4 linked regions of the Drosophila melanogaster genome follow. The protein of the gene in region 1 interacts with the protein of each later gene in a pairwise test. Each region holds a gene or a part of one and is shown in the gene's direction. Other genes may lie near its edges. The genes, in order: CG10321, CG3726, Syn2 and CG32767.

Region 1 (6,266 bases):
CACCCTGTGCGCAGATCATGGCTCCACCACAATCAGGCGAGATAACCATCACTTTTTTAGGCTGCGCAACGGAGAACTGACTGGAAGGGGAGTTCAGACGGAGGTGTGCGCCAACGGAGGTGATTCGGTCCTGGCCTGGATTCCCTACCACACCGTGCTCAAGAACTATGCGGCCGAGCTGAATCCCAAGGAGCGACTGACATACATTGCCAAGGCCACGAACGTGGAGCGGGAGAAGACAGAGCTCTGTCACTTCCGACACACGGATCTTGTCAATGCGGTGTCCGACAATCTGTTCACCTGTGTGGTCATGATTTTTGGCGATAACTTTGTAAGTTCCTCGGGAAGATGGTTCGGTTGATGTCCTACAAATATGTTATCTTTATAGTATGGTCTTGAGGATAACATTAACGTACTGGTGGAACTGGAACCTTTGGCATACCAGCTGAGGAACATTACTTACCTGCCGTGGCGCAATGTGACTAACAGCTACAAGATGCACCTGGGTGACAGTGTGCTCCGAAATCCCAGTGGCGAACGTAAGCCCATTTACGGTAGCCTGAACTACGATTTTGTGGAGAAGATCCTTGTGAACATGTCCAGTGTGTACCAGCATAGGAAGCTATCCAGGCTGCCTCTGCTCTTCGAGCACCGGTCCTCTGTTCTCGAGTTGGACTTGTATGGTATGGGTGGCCTGGATGTTGCGGAAAAAGCCTATTTCGGACGAAGCATGGACCCCAGGAGCGAGGTGAAGGTGCAGGTGATTGGTCAATGGGTAGACCAGCATCGGGAGTTCGACGCCGACATATACGAGTACTATGGCCATGGGCTGAGACGCTATAAGGAAACTCTGACCGGGGCCCGGCTCACCTTCATCCGAATAGATTATACGGAGCCGGTTTTCATGGCTCCGGAGTCTAGCAACCTGGCCAAGGCCTCGCTTTTCCGAGAGCCGAAGGTTGGCCAGATAAGGGAGGATCCATCGGGCAACTATACCGAGTGGGAGAACGCACAGGAAGAGGATTACGATGAGGAAGGTCCAGGATTCTACTGCTGGTTTGTGATTACTTGTCTGCTTTTGGCCCTCGCTATTATCCTGGGCATATACATTGTAGTAAGCGCTCACAACAGGAGAACCAAGAAGCGCCACATGTACGAAGTGGCCAACACGAATGTGCCTCCACCCGCCTAAAAATTATGGACATTAAGTTAAGTTTTCTAAATCAGAAAATAACACCAGGATCAACAGGTGTTTTCAGTTCGAAATGTCAGTTTAAAAAACGAGTTGGCAGCTCAATTGCTATGTCCTCGAATTAAAATTTGTGTGTTCGTTTTTTGGGTTAGATTTATTAAAAATTTCGGCTTGAAAATGTTAATGTGAGTCAAAAAACTGTTGTGTGTTTCATTGAATATGTAAAGAAATCCCCTGGTATGAACGGCAAGGAATGGCTCTAAAATCGAGAAATTAAAGAGACTTGTGAGCTGAAGGACCCACATCAAAAACCTAAGTTGTAAATAGAGAAAAGGTAAGTTTCAATGGAATTTCATGCCTTAAACATAAGAAGTTTTAAGTATTAAAAAGAAATCTAGAAATCTGAGGAAATAAACAAAATGATTTCCGACCGGCATGCGTTAGGGATTTCTGTCTTTATACCACGTTGGCAGCGCCATTCACAACACGCCTATCATCTCACTCACACTCGCACACAGAGAAAGACAGATAGAGGCAGAAGTTCAGTTCATCAATTCATTCATCTCATGGAAGAACCTTATTGATAACGTCGCCAGAGATAGCTAGTGATTTCATTCGATCAGGGTCCCGAAAGACCCACTGGTGTGCACTTGTTTTGGTTTTGAAGTTCGCATCTCTGGGAACGTGTGTGTTTCGCCCTGAACCACAAATATGTGAGTTCCGAATGCGATTTGTGTGACGCGGCCATATTTAAAGAGTTTTTTGTGTTGAATGTGGGGCGAGCTGCGAAAATTACATAAATACAGCGCAGGTGAGTTCATTTTTGTTGCGGGAACCCGGTCGAAAGGTGCTCTAAGTGCGGGTGCAAGTGAATCGAAAACAATATTTACCCAATTCAAGTCGGGAATTATGTATTTGTTTCGTTTTTTGGGCCTAAAAATCGCATTTTTCGCTCACACCAACACCAAGATGGTAAATTGTGTATAACAATATGGCTGTCTCTGTCTGGCACAAGAGCTACCAGACGTGTCGACAGTCCCTGTTATTAACAGCGGGTTAGCAGGTCATTTTACAACAGATGAAATTATTCTGAATTTTAATTGACCATTTTTTGGCGGGCAAATCATAACAAACCTCGTACTCATGCACCTTTCGGGGATCCGCTCATTCTAATGGTTATTTTAAATTAAAAAAAACTGGCCCATTGCAGCCTCCCCCTAGGAACACGAAGTGATGGATCGCAAGAAGGTCCTGGAGCTTGACAAGATCTGCCGCCTGTGCATCTCGGAGCGCAAGGAGATGCGCCCGCTGTTCAGCGAAAAGGTGCCCGAAATGCTGATGGACTGTACCAGCGTGCGGGTGGAGCCCACGGAGGGCTGGCCGGACAAGATCTGCGTGCAGTGCGTCCACGCCGTAAGCCGGAATCACGCCTTCAAGACGCTCGTCGAGCGCAGCGACAAGGAGCTGCGCGAGTATATCCGCGGTCTTACCGTGGCACTGGTAATGGAGGAGCAGCAGCAGCAGGAGGCGGCAAACGCTAAGCAGCAGCTTCAGCTGGAGCGGAAGCAACAGCGACAGCTGCAGAAGCAACAGAAAATCCTCGAGGAGCAACTCCAGCAGCAGATAGTCCAGCAGCAACAGCATCAGCCTCCTGCCAAACCAAAACTGAAGCCGCTGCTCCGCAAGGGCTCCCGCCAGCAGAAGCAGAGGCATTTGGAGGCCGCACCAGCACCACAGTCAGTCCCGCAGCCCGCCCCTCAGCCACAGATGCAATTAATGCAGGAACATGCGCCGCAACAGCCCACTATGCAGCAGCAGATCCAGCAGATTCATATGCCCACACTTCAGCCTGCTCCCGCCCAGCTACTGTCCGCTGCCGGTGCCACCACGACTATGCCGCAGCAGATCCTGTTGCCCAACGGCCAATTGATAACGACTGCTCAGATTGTAGCGCCGCAGTTGGCGCAGATCATCAGCACAGCGCCGCAGTCAACGACTAATGGTCAGGCCACCGCTGCGCAATCGCAATTCCTGCCACAGCTTCTACAGACGCCGAACGGACAGACGTTGCAGATTGTTCAGCAGCCCAATGGCACGCAGACCCTGCAGCTGGTTCAACTTGTGCCGCAACGCAGTTTGGCTCCGACCGGAGTCACGACAGTGACCACAACTACCAACGCCACGGATATGGGTCAGCATGTAGGCGCTTCTCTCGGTGATGCCGACGTGCAGTTGCTGGAGGACGGCTGTGAGGTGGAAGACGAGGAACTGGAAGATGTGTACGAGCAACTGGATAGCAAGGCAGATCACAGCTTTGAGACTATTGTACTGGACGACGATCAGCAGCAGGACTTCCTAAAGGACCACCACGAGCACCACCAAGTAATGATCAACGAGGATCTCACGCAGAGTGAAAGCCAAGACCATGAGTACTTCGACGATTTGGACCAACAGCAAGCAATGGACGAGATAGAAGACGAGGAGGAGCAAATGAAGCCCGAAGAGGACCAGGATACGTTCATAATCGAGGAGATTCAGCTGGAGGATGACGAGATGCTCGATGATCCGGATGGGGAGGAAATCGACCAGGATTGTGAGTACATCGGTGAGGAACAGGATCCGCATTTGTCCGGCGACGTAGACGACGATCTGGAGTATTCCATTATGGAGCCGCCGGATGGCGAGACAAGTGTGGACATTGACCAGGCATTCATGGATTCTGAGCAGTCGCATCATCAGCAGCACCAAGAAGAGATGCAGAGCATATCACTGGAGAACGCTGTTGTAGAGTTCAGCCAGGCCACAACTACAACGGAAGCCCTGGTGGGTCCCACTATGACCGTCAGCTCGGCCAGTCCGACGCCAAAGCGAGCCAAGCGAAGTAACCACCAAATTCCAGCCGGTGTGACTCTGGAACCCTGCGACCACCAACCACCTGCCGCTGGATCAACGACCAGCAGCAAGCTGGCCGCAGCCAACTCTCGCCAGTTGGTGCAGACGGCCAGCGTGATTGCAGCCGCCGGTGCGGACGACAACTACGAAATAGATGCTAATCTGGTAACTGAGTTCATACGACAGCACACCTCGCCTCTGGGATCTGGGAGATACATTTGTCACCTGTGCAGCACCGAGTTCCGGCAGTTCAAGGGCCTGCAGAACCACATGCACTCCCACACCAACTGGATACGGGCCAATTGCAAGAAACAGCCGCAGTGCCAGATCTGCCTAAAGAGCTTTAAGGGCCCAGGAATGCTGCGGATGCACATGAAGACGCACGACGCTGAATCCAGCACACCGATGTGCACCATTTGCAATCGAACCTTCAAGTCCAAGGCGATCTTGTACAGGCACAGACAGACGCACCAGCAGAGAGCGTATTGCTGCGGCGTGGCCAACTGCCGAAAGAACTTCTCGTCCGCGGTGAACCTCAAGTGGCACGTAGAACGCAAGCATCCGGAGGTTGTGGATCCGCTGTTCAAGTGCGGCGAGTGCGGATCTTTGTACGACAACGTGGACTCACTGCAGCTGCATGTGGAGAGCACGGATCACAGTGCAGAGGTGCAGATCAGTGGCCAGGACGATGCTTTCAGCGGGGCGGTAAGCATCGTCAGCAACGGCACCACCGACATGTCGAACATGATGGCAACCGGCCAGGGTACGACTTTGGCCGGCGGCACGGGCGATACCCACGCCGTGGTCATGGGCTCATCCGGCGAGGTGTACTTCGTGACGCAGGCGTAGCCAGCGGAGTTTGCCGCAGCGGGCGCTCCTGGAAACGGCGAGTGCCTGCTCGGCATTTAGATGACCACTTAGATGTAATATATATACATATATATATATATATTTTTGTACTACCCCCGTCTAGATAACAATTTAGGAATAAGCACAACTACACAAATATTGCAATCCTAGATTTCTGTCGTAGAACTTGTTTAGTAGGACCTAAGCGATTCACTCGAATTTTGTAAGCAGATACGAAACTTTAGGTAGGCAGATCGAGGCGGATCCTCACATCCAAACGCTTGGGGCATAAATCCTGCGTGGACTGTGCCAGTTTTTGTTTTTAATTTTATTACCCTACTATTATTATTTTGTTTTCCCGGGGAATACAGACTGGCATTTTAGGCTAAACGTATTTTGGCGTTGGGTTTTCATTGTTGGGCTTTGAAATAAGTGAATTTGTTTTAACTGAACAACAAAATAAATTAACAAACCTTCTATGAAACCATAATTTGTCTTTCTTGTACGTCCCATCTGGCCGGTAATATTTATTTTTAAGCGTGTAATCCAATTCGCTGGCTTTGTTGGCTTGTTGTTCAATTGCATTGACAGAAGACCGGGAAAAAACAGAACCCAAACAAAATTGATCGAAAGAAAACAACAATCAAGCCAAGGTCTTGTCTATTGATTCCCAATTGCCACGTGTCGCGTTCATCCGGTTATGGGAAGTATCTGGATAACTACGATTCGCGTATGGATGCTTATGTAAATCTGTAAATGCCTATTAGTGTGATTTAGGTACATGTACATACATATATATTATATTATCCATAAAAAGTGACCCCCCAATAATCGGTTATCTGATCGCAGTCTGAAATCTCCGGCTGTCACAAGAAATTGTTAATTAATTAGCAAATAAGCCGCGAAAATAATCAATTGGAATAACATTGTGACAGCTAAAATCGCCAGGCGTTTATTTGTTTTGTTCAGATTATATATGGCGGTCAGCCGCGTTTCGCAAGATAAGATAAAGGTTTGGTTTTCCGCTTACAAATATGACGCATACCTTCGACTTACCGCCCTTAATTTTCCAGCCAGCTGTTGGAAAATCTGGCCCAAACTAAAGCTTATATTGTACATAGATATTTTAGATAGCTAGATTTTTGATTCGTAACTAGCTGTATCTAATGCAACATTTTTAAAATGGGCTTTACCTATACCATCATATGCTTTACATTTACATTTACATATGTATATATTCATTGCACTTATAATATATTCTTCATCTTAAATGTCATGCTTTCATGCTTGGCTGGAAAAGTCCTTGCACTTTAAACCGTCGAAATAAAACTTG
Region 2 (5,072 bases), on another chromosome or scaffold:
CTTATCGTCAAGTGATTATCATCCGTCTGGGTCACCAGTTCAAGTCGCCGGACGACGATAAGGACACTGCCCCCCCTTTGCAGCTGACGCACTTCGGAAAGATCGGGAAACGTACGTATATAGTCGAAATGGAGAATATTGGCAGAAAATGGACAAGTTTATATGTATGTAGCTTCCTCCAGCAAATTACGTATCTCTAGTACCATTTTGTTGTTCAACGTTTCCAGCTGCTAACTAATAATCCCTGGAAGATTCTTCTATTTTCAACGCAGAAATGAATTGGACACGCAAAATTTTAGCTGCAAAAACTGGAAACTGGTGATTCCCACTAAATTGAATGCTAATTTCTGGCCACAAGTTGAGTGCAAAATGCATATACATATGTATGTATGTATATTTATATACAAATCTGCCCACACGAATGGGAAATTCGATTTAATGGCCAATGCCAGATTCTTTTTTTTTTTTGCGTTATCAGTTTAAATATTTAGACAAGTGCAAACGAGAATGACAACAACAATGCTCGATAGGGCGCAAACAGCCGAGAAATTCGAGTAGGCCCAAAAACGAGTTTCAGGCCGAGGTAGCGAATGTGAATCAAAAAGATTCAAACTTGGCGCATGGCGACGTTTTGAATACACTAACAGTACACTGATACAAATACGGTACATATATGTACATATGCTATAAGATCTCAATTAAACTACACATGTACATAGGTACTTAACAATGATACTACTATAAACAACACTTTCAGCGGATCGATGGCATGCCATCCACGTAGGGATAGTGCAGTGTGGGAACACATGGCTGAATGAAACGCATGAAGCACATGGCGATTAGCCGGGCATGCCAGGAGCCGCAAATGGAAGCGAAACACAAACTTTCTGAGCACCGCGATCACTGCAAGAATTAAAGGCAATCGAAATGCGAGTCCCCCAAATGGTTCAATTAGCCACACTTTTTCCACCCTCCCCTTCACTTTGCCTGGGACTTTCCCGGCGAACTCACCTTCAAAGTGCTCTGCTTGGAGTCCGAATATCGTCTGATCGCCGGTAAGAATGGCGTTGGTGATGGTTGTTTTTTGGCGGCGATGCGAGTTAAAGCTCCGCTAAGCTTTCCAGTCTCGAAGTTAACCGGGTTGCCAACTTTGGTGTTCAGGTCCCGACTAAGGCAAAACCGAAGCTTTTGTGTCAGTGTAGAGCGCGCCCGCTGCATGTCTTTGTAACTGTAATAAGCAGAATTTTATAGATTTTAGTGGATGTTTTTCAACAATCCTTGGTAATTATTAGTACTCACACGGCTGCGTTCGAATCGGAACTGCCGCAAAGTGAGAAGAGTCGCCGGCGCTGAGATGACGCCGCCGCTGGCTGATAAGCGATAACGATAACCCGTGACCCCTGACCGACCCAGTGATAAGTCCGCCCAAGAGTTCCGACCCGATCGCTGCGCTATCTCTTGGCCAGCATCCAAAATATTCGACACCGAAAATACAACGAAGCGAAAACACGCGTTACGTTGGTAAACAACATTTACCAGGCTAACAGATATCAGCTGTTTGGGTAGTTGGATCGCTGGATTTAGAAGCTTTTGGCGCCGTCTGGCAACGCTAGCGATAGCTACCAATTCTTGTATAAATATTTACAATTTGTGGAAATGTTAAGCGTGTGTGCCTCTTCAATTAATATTAACACTTTATTTTATATCATAATATGCGTTTCTCTCAATCCCTTAAAATGTACGTAGTTATCAAACGCGCGATAACGTTAAGGCATTTAAAGTACCCGCCAAATTGCTGGTACTGCGAACCGGTTTAAGTTGCCAACCGATTGGGAGAGTGCAACATCTCTCTCCAGCAACATTGCTGCCAGCCAAAGTCTATATAAGCAACAACGAAAGTTCAATTCTTTTCACTCAAAAATCCGTCTCCTCCGCGGTACGTTTCACTTCGCTGCGCCGCTAAAAGAAAATTCCTGGAAAATATTAACAAACACATGAGCCTAACATTCTTAACAATTCCAAAACAGAACATTTATTTTTGGTGAATTTCCTGACAATTTAGTGGTTAGTGTTTAATGTTAAAACATTGCTGTGCGCATTTACCGTTATCCGCTCGCAAGGCAAAAGAAAAAGCGCGCGTTTTGAATTCGCTGTTTCGCATTATTTTTTTTTATGTTAAAAAACAAAATATAGAAATGAAACAAAAATGGCAAGCCAGAAATTAAATGAATGAATGAATTTTTTTCGACACAATTCTGCTGCGTGTGCAATTCGATTCGAATAACAAAACAAAAAGCATAAAGGAAAAGTAAAAGAAATTCGAGGGGGGAAAAAAACGCCAAAAGAAAAGATAGCGCGAAAAGTCATAAAGAAAAGGTGAGAAAACAAATTATTTATTTCATGTGCTAAAAAGACACGCAAAACGAACGTCGTTTTATTTTTAGCCAAACAAAAGTTGTGTGTTATTTGTGCGATTTTCTGTTTTTGTTCGCCGCTCTCCCCTTGTTTTTTATCGTTTTTGTTTTTCAATCATATATTTTGTGCTTCTTTTTTTTTTTGCATGTTTTGTTTTGTGCGTGCTCTTTTTTGTTGAATGCAAAAAGGCGAACAAAATATTACGATAAAAATTCCGTTGTTCTCGCCGAAGGTTTCCGGGTTTGTTGACTTTGCCAGCTGAATATTCGAAATTGACATAAATAATAATCGCATGCAATTATTGTAAACAATTGTTTTTCGCTCAGGAAACGATTGGCGCTTTTTCTTCGCTTATTGTAATTGTTGCTGCCAACTAATCGCCAAGATAAAAATGAAAAAAGAGGGGAAAAAACCTACAGAGTTGCAAAAAATTAATTAAATTCATAGGCCAGTAATTTACATTTTTTGTGTGATTTTTTCGCTTTTTTTGTAGTTTTTGTCTAAGCTTGATAATTAGGGTTTTTTGCGGGCTGTTGTTTATCTGCTACAGTTGTACCCAAAATAATAGTCGATGCTTAAAAATGTTTACAAAAAATGTAAATTTTTGTGGCGCTTCAAATAGCTTTACTACGATTTCGAACACAATTGTATATCTTAAGTTTTGGGGCTATTTTTTGTGCTGGTTTTAAATTTTGGTTTATCGGTTTTTGTTATTTCTGTGGCTTTTAGTTTTCTTCTTCACCTGTTTAGCCTTATTTTTTGTTGTCGATTTCGGCTTATTTGTTTTTAGTTTTTTGTTGCACTATTTGAATGCGAGTTTTTTTGTTGTTGAGAGAGGCATTTCCGCCTTTATGGCAAAAGCAATTTACAATTTGCAATTTACTTTTCTCTCGTTTTTTTGCTGTATGGCAATTCATTTTTACAACTTTAATTATATGAACAAAAACTGCAAAACATGAACGGCAAAAATTAAAATTGCAAATCGCATTTGAGTGACGTCGCCGTCAACGTTTCTCCTTCCTTTTGTTTTTGTCGGCTGTTTTATTCGGTTTTTTGTTTTCACAGCGGCATTCGCCTGCGCAAAAAAAAATAAAACAGCGAATCAGTGTGTGGAAGATTGTGTGGAGGGGGGGCAGAGAGCGAGAGAGAGAGAGAGGAAGAGAGCGTATCAGGAGCGAATCTGGAAATTTTTGAACCAAGCTACCGATTTGCAAGAAGAACATGAAGTTAACAAAATATATAGGTTATTGAGCAACAAAATTACGTAAAACATTTAAGATATTTAATGGCACTTAACTCGAATATTTACCCCCTGATCCGGCCCTGGCTTCTGTGCGCTAGTGTTGGTGTGCGTGAGTGCTCTCTCTCTCGTTCGCTGCTCTCTGCTCCCCATCTTCATCGACCCCCCACCACCCGCCTTCGCCCCACTCACACACATTTCAATTACATGTGAAACGCGTGCTCCAAATTTCAAGTTCATTGTCCAAAAACAAATCAGAACAAAAGCGATAACAAACAAGCAAGCCAAAGGCAAAAAAACAAGGGCAGGTCAGCATCCGACGTGCCACGCCCCCAAATTTGGAATATATACATACATATATGCATATATGTTCATATACATACCTATGGACATAATTAATTAATTTATAAATGTGGGAGAAACGCTTAAATAAAGCCTAAAATTAGTCTAAAACTACAACGATTGATATTCCAACAAAACCAAATTCGAAATATAAAACATTTTCAAATCGATTTCGAATAAATGCATATTTACCTGGGCTTCGAGATTTGAAAGCTTTGCATCTAGATTTCATTATCATAAATTATTCGTAATATATGATATATCATGTAAAAAACTTTTGGGTATTCCCACAGTCGAGTCGAAATAAAGCCGTGAAGTATTTATAACAAAATCACACTTATTTTCGTGTTATTCCGCAACCAAATAAAAATTCTTTAGAAAAACAATGCGGCAGTAGGAAATAAAGCAAAAAACGACACAAATTTTGACACGAAATATTGTTTTTCGTGTGTGATTATTTTGTTGTTGTCATTTTTTGTCATACCAGCTTTAAGTTTAGTTTACTCTATGTGTTTATTTATTTTCATTTTGGTAGTTGGCAAATAAAATTCGCTTACGTAAATTTTGGGGTTGTTTATGTTTTGCGCACTATATATGAAAAATGATAACTATAATTTGCAATGCGTAAATAATGTTTGTCAAATGCCGACAAAGTTCCTTAAATCTATTCACAGCGTTTTCAATTTCAATTTCGCCGAAAAAGGGTTTGATTTTGCAACCATTTCTTTTTCATTGAGCTCCCCACTTTTTTTTTCCCTCATTCTCTGATATCAGCTCATATTTATAATTAAAAACAAACAATAAAAAACTGCACTGCAGACGGCAAATCGGAAAAATATAACAAAAAATAAAAAGAAAAGAAGCCATAAATATACACACATATGTGTATAAATATTTATATTTATATGAATTTGCGGGGCGAGACACTAAAAATAAAAAAACAAAACTAACGCTAGGCAAATTTCGCTGATAACTTTGAGAAGTGCTGAAAATACTGGGGCTCCAAAGGGAAAAAGAGTGTAGTAATAATAATTTAAAAAAAAGGTTGAAATCAATGCAATGCGAAGAGATAAAA
Region 3 (5,112 bases), 5.1 Mb from region 1:
CCTCTATTCAGGATATCGAATATGTGAAAATGTGACCCAATTGAAAACGCGAAAACGGGTCGCAACTACACATAAACTGCATATATTTATACACACGCATATACATATATATATGTATATGTGTGCGGGCAAGCATAAGTACATCTGTCAATACAAGGAGGTAATCCCCCAAAGTCGATCCGATATACTGGGTGCGGTAGAATTGTTTAGCAAACACACACATAAATTAATAATCAACGTTTTTGGGCCTCGGGCAGCAAAAGTATCGGTTATGCGAGGGTGTGCGTGTGTTTGTTTTACTTCACAGCCAGAGCTGCAAAAAAAAAAAGAAAAGTTCAATCGCTGAAACTTCAGGCAAAACAGCCCGAAACGTTTCGCCTGCTGCTGCTTCTGCTGCTCTTTTCGTGGCTGTGGCACAGCTGATTGTCCAAGGCCTCACGCCGAACATGTTGGCTTGTTTGGTTTGAAGCTAAGGACCTGCACTCCTGGACACCTCCCCACCGAAAAAAAAACCAGAGTACTCTGGGCCTAGCTTCACGGTTTTACGGCTCTGAAGCACGCACCCAAAAGGGCAGCGCAGCGTGCACACGTAATAATAAAGCCATAATCAAAGGTAACCCGGGACAACGGAGCGTATGCGTGTTCCGCCAAGTCGGTGGCCTGACCAGCAGCTAATTGCTACGACACGCGGAATGCCAAGGATTCAGGAATTCATGGTCCAAATATTCGACACTTTTTGCACTCTGCGAAACTCTTGCAGGCAATATAGAACATTCTGGGTTGATAGATCTATTTTTGTATAGATTTTGGAATGTATAATTTACCTTAATTATAATTATTTTATGTTGCTTCAGTAAAATAATTCCGTTTTTATATATTTATTTTTATTATATTTTCAAAAACTCATTGTTGATGACACGTAAGCTTAGGCCTAAACATTTTATTATGATTTTATTCCTTTCATAATTTCATTAAAAATATATAATAATTTTTTTAATTAACAATAATAACAATTGAATTCACTTTGACCATGAATCAGATCGCAGAAAACGTTTAAAGCGAAAGTGTTTCCCCTCGAATTCAGAATTTCTCAATCTCAGATGGCAATTTAGCTGGCACCATATGCACATATTTGGCGCTCAAATCGAACCCTCCCCCCCCCCCCTTCAAGAACTCTCAACCCCCCCTAGGCAAAACACCTATTTATGGAGCACAAGTGGTTATCCAAAATACATATTCCACCCTCCCATTCCTGAGGAGCAGTTGCGGCCACACTTCGGCACTCAGCACCAGGGAAAACCACAAACAACGTCTGCAGATGGGGCACACTTCAATGTGTTTTCACTCATATCTAGTTTTCCGGTAGCATATTTATTTTCCACTTTAATGGAAAACATATGCCGTGGCATCAGTTCGTAGAAAACGCACTTGGCCAAGGTATGCCCATGTATCGTTTCCATCTAGATATGCCTTCTATTACATTTTGCGGCAGCCTGATTACGCTTAATTGTTTCTAATTGCATGTGTAATTTAATTAAGGCAATTGCACAGTTCACCTTGAACTATCGGCTCATCGGTGGGCCAGTGTGCAAACGTAATTCGATATGCGATGATTGCAATTGCGTTGCTTTCGCCTTACTGCTGTCTGCTCAGTGGAAAAATAAAATGGCAATCGATAAAGGCCACGGAGCCGGCTTCCCGATTTGATTGCAGTTGTTTCGCAGTCCATTGCCATGGCCACGATTATGTTTAAAAATAAAAAAAAAAAAACGAAAAGTTCTCAGAAATCGCTTGATTACACTGGGCCAACTTGATTGGCGGCCATCCGATTTGGTAACAAGGGTAGACATCCCGTTATTGCCACAAATCAGGCAACATTTCAACCTTTTCAGACCCTTTGCTCTAAATTATTCATTCCATTCAATCAATCAACGCATTTAATTTAACGCCTCTAGAAATATTGATTGAGCTTTAAGTATAGTCAAGATATCTTGAAGATACATTTTGTTATTATTATAGCAAACTAATCTCTAGAAATCTCTAGAGTTCCTGGATTTTTATTTTATTTTGGTTCATAATTCATTTTTAAATCCTATCACTTTAAGCACGTTTCCCATTTAAGATCATAAATCACACTCAAGATCCCTCTTCTCTGAATGATTTCAGGAATTATGAAGCTCTCTGACACCATGGCCACGCCTATAGAAGAAAAACTCGACCAAAACCTGAAGGTAACGCAAAGATTCTTCATATTTATAAATGTATATCTATTAAATATTAAATTATTAATATTTTAGGTGCGAACTGGAATGGTGCACGTGAGCGATGGCAAGAGCAGACCAGAACCGCTTCGACTTAATCTTACCATGGAGTTGCTTTCGCTGCAGAAGCTGGAAGTGGTAACACCAAGTAGTTGTCACCCCAATGGACCACCCATGGAATCAAAGGTATATATATATTTTCCCCTATAACATTTAACTTATTTATGAAATAATTCATCTTTCAGGAACGTATGGTTCAAATTACGCGCCAAAAACAAGGCGGCCTAGGACTGAGCATAAAAGGTGGCGCCGAGCATAAACTACCCATTTTGATATCGCGTATCTATAAGGATCAGGCTGCGGACATAACGGGCCAACTATTTGTTGGCGATGCCATCATCAAGGTCAACGGAGAATACATCACGGCATGTCCTCACGATGATGCCGTCAATATATTGAGAAACGCTGGCGATATTGTTGTGCTCACTGTTAAGCATTATCGCGCAGCCACGCCTTTCCTTCAGAAACAACGTGAGTAGCAGTGGGCTAGCATAGCACGATAAATAAGGATTGAATAACCCTCCTCAACATCCCAGTGACCAAGGACACACCCGACTCGGACAACGATGTCACATGTGCCGAACTGAAGGCTGACGAGGGCTACAAGTCATCCGTCAATAGTGGAACCATCAGTCGCAGTTGTAGTCGCCCCATGTCAATTTGCTCGGAGCCCGAGAAGCGCTGGACCGACGTGGTTGCCGGTGAGCCTTATTTATAAATAGGTTAACAAATTGTTCATTGATTATGTCCTAAGATAACAGAAATGTATCTCAAATCTTACGTACAGAAATGCTAATCAATTCATATATTTACACCTTGCAGTACCTCTAATGATGGCATATGTGACGAGGTACATCTATGGCACCGACAAGCTGCGACAAAATGCCTTCGAAGTTCGCGGTCTGAATGGAATTTCCACAGGTGTCATACACTGTGACGAACTGGCCATACTTAGTCAGTGGCTGAAATTGATAACAGACAATGTTGTGGGCCTGACGCATTTACAGGTAGGAGAGTTAAAGGCATATATATTCATAATTTAATCAATTGTGTATCCAATAGATGAAGCTATATAATAGAAACTTTGCTGTGGGCGAGCGCATTGAGTACATGGGCTGGGTGAATGAAGGTGTCATTAACAACAATATATCGTGGCAGAGCTACAAGCCCAGGTTTCTACTGCTCAAAGGCACTGAAGTGATGCTCTTTGAAACGCCACCAGTGAGTAGCAATCAATTGCGATAAGTTTCGATTATCTTAACTAATTTTTTCTATTAAATTATTAGCTAAATGTGGCTGGCATTAGTAAGGCTTTGGTGGTCTACAAGGTCTACCAGACCATGTTCCGCATTGTCAAGGAATCGGAGACCGTGGATAGTCGTCAGCATTGTTTCCTGCTGCAAAGTTCGGGTCATGAACCGCGCTATTTGAGCGTGGAAACCCGTCAGGAGCTTTTGAGAATCGAAAACAGCTGGAATGCGGCCATTGTGACAAGTGTCATCAAACTGGGCGTAGGTTTACACTTATATCGCATACCTTCACTCTCTAATTATATGTTAATTTTCCTCAGCGTAAGACCTTTGCCGTGTCGCATCATGGAAAAAGTGGTGGACTCACGCTGGACTGGCAAGCTGGTTTTTCATTAACCGAAGGAGCCGAATCCGCCACAGTTTGGCAGTATAAATTCTCCCAGCTGAGGGGCTCCAGTGATGATGGTAAATCGAAGCTGAAGTTGCATTTCCAGGATCACGATAGCCGTGCAATAGAAACCAAGGTAAGCTAAAGATACAAGTATACCATAATTTCATAATATATAAAAAGTTTAATATCCTGCAGGAGCTGGAATGCCAAGTCCTGCAAAGTCTGCTGTTCTGCATGCACGCGTTTCTTACGGCCAAGGTGGCATCGGTGGATCCAGCATTTTTGAGCTCAATCCAGCAGACTTAAATCAAAAATATTATGAGGGACAAGAATTCGCATGGACTCACACTCAAAATGATATATAATGAATATTCGTAAAGTGCATAGCAAATAATTCGAATATGAATGTTGGACTATAGGTATCGCATACATGATTGTCCGCTTGGAGTTATTATAAACGAGTACGCGCATATACATATGTATGTTGATATCTGAATGATTGTAATTGTAATTGGATACTGATATGGGTATATTTATAGCGCTGATAAAACTGAAAGTGAAATCTCTTGGTGCATTATAGTAAATTTTAAGCATACATAAGGCAATTACTTTAGGCATTTTTCCTATTACGTAGACTTGGTACTTACAAATTGACAACAAATTTATATTGTTTATAATCGATCGTTTCCGAATGTAGCCTTTAAAGTTAAATTAACCCTTAACCCTACCTACCTAACTTACGGATTGTTAAAACCACATAGGTCTGCCGATTCTGAATGTCAGAGAAATCTAATCGCTTTTTGCTATTAGCCGAAAAGATTATAATGAGTGGCCTTAAAGGCTTTAACCCGTGCTGTATCCTCTAGACATATATTTCTTCGGCGGTTTAACGAAAATTGATTGAAATATAAAAACCGTGTTTTGTGTGCGCTCTAATGAAAATTTAATTTTCGAAAAACGAATGCTTTAAGATCGGATTAATTGTTATTTTCTACTGAAGTAATAGCTGATGTCATAATAGATATATATAAAAATACCTTATAAAATAATATATATATATATAACATCCACCGAACAAATCTCAATGCACAGACGTAACATGAACTAGATTTTATAACTGTTATACATTTACTCAGAGCCAGTTAAGTGA
Region 4 (5,078 bases), on another chromosome or scaffold:
TTTCGTGTTTCTGTGTATAAAAAACCGGTAAAAATTCAAAAACCCAGTTTCAGTGTGCCCAGACATCAAGTAAGTATTTTAGTATTTTCAGTTTTAGTTTTAGGTTTTAAATATTTGGCAATTGCACCTCCTTTCGATGTATCGATGTACCTACAAAGTATCGATAGTGACTGTTGCCAGTATCGCTTTAGTTATTCCATCTCTAAGCATCAGGCTTTGGTCACATTACCAACCTTTCATAAAAAATAAAAAACAAAACAAAAAGGCGATAAAACGCAATTAAAGCAACTGTAAAAAACATAACAAACTAAAACCACTGATAAACTAAACCAACTGCATTGCACACACCCCGCAAACAAACGAAAATGTGATGTTAAGTGTGAGTAAAAACCGATGGAAAAGCGAAAGGAGTGTGCGTGTCGAGCATGTGCGAGTGTGTGTGTGTGCGTGCGCGTGAAGTGCGAATAATGTGTGATGGAGAGAGGGCAAGAGAGCGGCGCCAGCTAAAAAATATAAACAATTAAATAAATATGTAAATTTATATATATGGATGTATGGCATGGAAGTAGTTATCCACTAGTTACGAAAAGAGAAAAACAAAAGAACTAGTTCTCTTTTCTTTGAGTGTGCGTGTGTGGTTGTGTGGGGGAGAGGATTCCAGCTGCCTTTGTGTGTGAATTTCATTTAGTTTTTTTTTATCTGCTATTATTTTGTTGTGCGGATATTTTTTAACCCTTGTTAGCCCTTTATTTTGCTGATGTTTGCGTTAGTGTGTGTGTGTGTGCTTTCAACCCCCAAAAACTTCACCACCCGTCGCCGCCCGGCGAAAAATCACTGAGCAATAAAACCACCCACTACCCACCAAATGAAAAGACCAAAAAAAAAACGAAGCGAATTATTTCCCACTGAAAATTTTTTTCTTCCAAGGTGATGATGTTTTCTTCCTCTTGCTCCTCATCTTTCCAGGAGCAGCACTCGAAAAAAGGGAGAAGCAAGATGGAGAAGGAGAGTGAGTGAGTGAGAGAGAGCACAATTCAGAAACTGTCGAAATAAAACGGCTTCTCCACCTCTCACGCCTTTTGTCGCCCCCCGCTGCGGGCCCCATCGCACAGTGGGACGCGCAGACTAGGTGTTCTAACAAATTTCGAATTTTCACGCTCCAGTGAACTCATAGGCACTAAATTAATGTTTTAAATGTAATATTAATGAGTTTGTTGTTTTATTATCACCTATTTCGCTCCACTGTGCAACGTATGACGCGCTAGCGTCCCCTCTTTCGCTCTCGCGCAATTCGACCATTTTCCATCCTTCTCGCTCACGCCGACTGCCTTTTGGCGTATTTCTTTTGTGCCTATGTATTTCCGCTTGTTAGGTCAGCTCTCCCCCTGCTCCCCCGCCCAACAACGTCCTCTTTTTGTGCTCCCTTTTTGGGCTCCAAGTTCTGGCAGTCCTTTTAGGAACAGTTGTGGCCGAGAGAATAGGGAATTCGTTAAGACGGCCTTCTTTTGAAAGTAGATGCTCGCTTGTAGTATGATCTTAAAATGCGTGTACTAAGCCCCTATTAAATTAATAATAATAATTAAATGTTGTTTTTCATTTCTTATTTAAAAATAATCTGTTTAAGGAAAAATTAATAGATGTTGAGTAAGATGTACCTGATAATACTATTTCATTGACCCCTGCTGTATATTTTGGTTTTGTGTTGTGAGTGAGAACGAAGTTGTGTGGGTGTTTAAAAAGGGTAAGAAAGGCAAAAAAAAAGGCGAAACGGAGTAGGACAAGAACCAAAAAGAAAAACGAAATAAAAGTAACGTTGTTTTGTGTGCGGGCCAACCGAAAACCAATTAACTTTTTGAATATTGCACGAAATTGCGCGCCATCGCCCGTTCGTTTACCAACACTGACCGCCGAATGCAACCCTGCGCAACACTAACTCACACACACGAGCGTAGTAAGACCCAGGGAGGCAAAAATTCACACACAAGCAAATATTTTTTTGTTATTATTGAACAGTGTGGAAGAACAGCGCGAAAGGGAAAAACGAGCTTGCGGATGTGAAAAGTAAAGCGGGTGTGTGGAAAACGGCAACAACAAAAGGCGAACGGGGGAAAGCCAAAGAAAAACTACTCGCGGGGGAGCAAAAATCGGCTGGGAAACACGGACGAAGAAGAAGAAGAATAGGAATCAGAGTAGGAGAGCAAGCAGCAGCAGAAGAAGAAGAAGCAGCGCAGCCGCTAATTGTCTCGTCGTTCGTTGTTGTTGCTGCCTTGCAAAAAAAAAAACGAAACCGAAAAAGAAATGGCAAAAAAATAACGCAAACAAATTCAATAAAACGAACTAAACAATTAGCAAGTTAATAAACGCAACATAAAACCAAAGGAACGAACAGCAGTGGCAAAAGAAAAAGGCAAAAGAAGAACAATCGAAAAGGTCAAAAAGTGTGAGCAAGGGAGAGGAGAGACTTCCCCAAAAAAAACCGAAAGAAAAATGGAGCAAAAGTGAAAAACCTGTGAATGTGTGTGTGTGTGAGAGATGGTGAGAGAGAGAGTGGGGGGAAAAGCTAAAATTAATTTTTTGTTTTTATTTCCAAGGCGCGCACTGGTGTGTGTGTGTGAGTGTGGGTGGAAAATCGGATTTCGTAAAACGCATTTAATTGTTAACAGCAGCAAAAACGTGTATAATTTACCTGATTTTTCTACATCTCACTTACAGTTAGTAATCAAATTGCACAAAATGCGAAAGAGGAGAGCAGATCAATAATAATAATAATAACAAAAAGGAAAGGAGCAAATGTAACGACTTCTGTGTGTGTGTGTGCGTGCGTGAAGCAAACAACAAAAAACAGCGCAGAAACATTTTTAACTAAAATGTGGAAAGCAAGCAAGGAAACAACAAAAGCTAAAACAACAACGACAGCCAGGAGCAGCGCAGCCAGCAGCGACGTCGACGCCAGCGTCGCCGCATGGAAAGCACAGAAAACCGCATGACAAGGAAATGGAAAATTTTTGTGCAGCCCAAAAAACCAAATGTGAACATAAAGGAAAGGCCGACAGCGAGGCGTTGAGCAAACGAAAAACAAAACAAAATACAACAAAAATACAAGAACGTGTGTGTGTGTGCGTGTGTGTGTGTTTTCCAATCGTATAATCGAAGAATAATAGTAATAATAATACGAGTCAAGGAAGAAGCGGCATTCGAAAGAGAACAGAATAAACGGAGGAAGAAACAGATGTAATAACTAAAGCAGAAGAAGAAGCCCATCAGCAAATCTATGAGAAGAAGAAGAAGGCGAAGAGGAAGCGGCAACTTGAAAAATATACAACAATTATTAATTATGGCAGCTTCGACAAACAAAATTCTGTAGAAGAGGAAACAACAGACGCCCAAAGGCAAGATTTTTAAATAGGGAGTAGTAACATAAAAGAAAACTTTGGCAGCCAAAACGACAAGAAACAAACAAAAAATTGTAAGTAACAACAAGCCCTGCTTTTTCCAAACAAAAACTAGTTCGTTTCGATGAAATTATCACTTAATCACCAAAGTTTTGTATAGTTGTTCCTCTCAGTACTGAAAGCATTTCGCTTTCATCTAGTTTTATTTAATAACCCGTACTTTAAGACATCAGAAACTCGAATGGACTTAACTTGTTTGTTAGATTTTGTGGCAGAGTTCATAATATTGTTCTATTTCTCAGGCTAACAATATATTCAACATAGCTGGAGGTTTACGCCAAACACAGGCGTCGCATCCCCAACAGCTCAAGAGAAGAACGTAAGTTATTGCCCACCAGCCATGGCCGAATGTGAGTCTAATCCAAATGTTTGTACGATTTGCAGATACAAATAAGGGAAATATACATCAATTAGTATATCGCTGCCATGGCCAGCAGCGCGACGAACGTCGACGGCGGCAGCGGGACGTCGACGGCGCTGCCATCGCTCTTCCCCGCCGTTGGCGCCGCTGCCGGTGTCAAAGATATGGACGGATTAATGGCCATTAACGATAGCGCCCTATCGCAACAGATCGAATTTATACTGCAGGATGCTCCCATGGAGCAGGACGACGATCCTCACCAGCATACGCATGTGCATCACCATCATCACTCGCAGCATCATCCTCACTCGCATTCGCATCAGCAGCAACAGCAGCAGCATCTTCAGCAGCAACAGCAGCAGCAGCAACACCATCATCCGCATCATCATCTGAAGCTGGACAACAGCAGCAACAACCACCCACCGACCGCAGCAGCAGCCGCAGCTGCCGTAGCAGTAGCAGCAACAACTGCAGCAACAGCAGCCGCAGCAACCAACAACAGCGCTTCCTTTAGCAGCAACAGCAGCAGTAGCAATAGCAACAACAGCAATCACTTGGACAACCAGCAACAGTTGCTCATTCAGCAGCAGCAGCAACAGCAGCAACATCATCTGCTAAACGGACGCCGCATCATAATCCAGGCCACGGGTAACTCGTCCGTTTTAGCCGCCAGCGATATCAAGGAGGAGGACGAGGAGGAGGAAGATCCCGAGCTGAACGATGAGAATCTGCAGGATATCGAAGAGGAGGCTCAGGCAGCCGAGGCCGATGAGGAGCCCGAAACCACCGCGCATTTGTCCACGCAAGTTAAGCTGGAGCTGGAAGAGGATGATGAAATGCCCGACGAGGAGGAGGAAGAGGATGAGGACGATGACGAGGAGCTGCAGCACGGCCAGCTGGAGTACCAAATTAGTGCGGCAACGCAAACAGCTGGAGCAGCGACGAGTAGTGCCGCTGGTGGCGCCGCAACAGCCGGCGGAGGATCACAGCAATTGGTACAACTGCCCGCCGGTAGTATTGTGAGCACAACCACCCACCGATTGTCGGTGCCCGTGACCGAGGCGGCTCTTGTGCAGCTGCAACGACGACCTGTCTACATAAGCAATGCTGTTGGCGGCCTAACGGCCGGAGCAACCTATGTGAGAATGCCGGCGGCCGCTGTGATCAGCCGGAGTCCCATGACGGTGCTGAATGTGGTGCAACAGGCGTTGCCGGCCACACAGCTGATATTGCAGACGCAACAGCAACAGACGCCGGCAGCGGCA

The links.
Region 2: the proteins of CG10321 (region 1) and CG3726 interact in a two-hybrid assay, tested with the Drosophila melanogaster proteins (one large-scale study listed by BioGRID).
Region 3: the proteins of CG10321 (region 1) and Syn2 interact in a two-hybrid assay, tested with the Drosophila melanogaster proteins (one large-scale study listed by BioGRID).
Region 4: the proteins of CG10321 (region 1) and CG32767 interact in a two-hybrid assay, tested with the Drosophila melanogaster proteins (one large-scale study listed by BioGRID).

Annotation. Positions count from the first base shown.
Region 1 is NT_033778.4:21,632,979-21,639,244, forward strand, and holds CG10321 (uncharacterized protein), read left to right. Parts: upstream 1-1,700; 5' UTR 1,701-2,003; intron 2,004-2,402; 5' UTR 2,403-2,425; coding exon 2,426-4,933; coding exon of another isoform or gene 4,934-4,993; 3' UTR 4,994-5,421; downstream 5,422-6,266. Other genes in the region: CG15674 (uncharacterized protein), read left to right, coding at 1-331, 389-1,192.
Region 2 is NC_004354.4:5,915,252-5,920,323, forward strand, and holds the start of CG3726 (uncharacterized protein), read left to right. Parts: upstream 1-1,845; 5' UTR 1,846-2,376; intron 2,377-5,072. Other genes in the region: Shmt (serine hydroxymethyl transferase), read right to left, coding at 1,012-1,218.
Region 3 is NT_033778.4:16,552,462-16,557,573, forward strand, and holds Syn2 (Syntrophin-like 2), read left to right. Parts: upstream 1-2,125; 5' UTR 2,126-2,156; coding exon 2,157-2,231; intron 2,232-2,297; coding exon 2,298-2,447; intron 2,448-2,506; coding exon 2,507-2,792; intron 2,793-2,857; coding exon 2,858-3,022; intron 3,023-3,143; coding exon 3,144-3,328; intron 3,329-3,383; coding exon 3,384-3,542; intron 3,543-3,607; coding exon 3,608-3,832; intron 3,833-3,891; coding exon 3,892-4,095; intron 4,096-4,157; coding exon 4,158-4,268; 3' UTR 4,269-4,565; downstream 4,566-5,112.
Region 4 is NC_004354.4:5,079,874-5,084,951, reverse strand, and holds the start of CG32767 (uncharacterized protein), read left to right. Parts: upstream 1-1,926; 5' UTR 1,927-2,535; intron 2,536-2,712; 5' UTR 2,713-3,466; intron 3,467-3,694; 5' UTR 3,695-3,771; intron 3,772-3,836; 5' UTR 3,837-3,878; coding exon 3,879-5,078.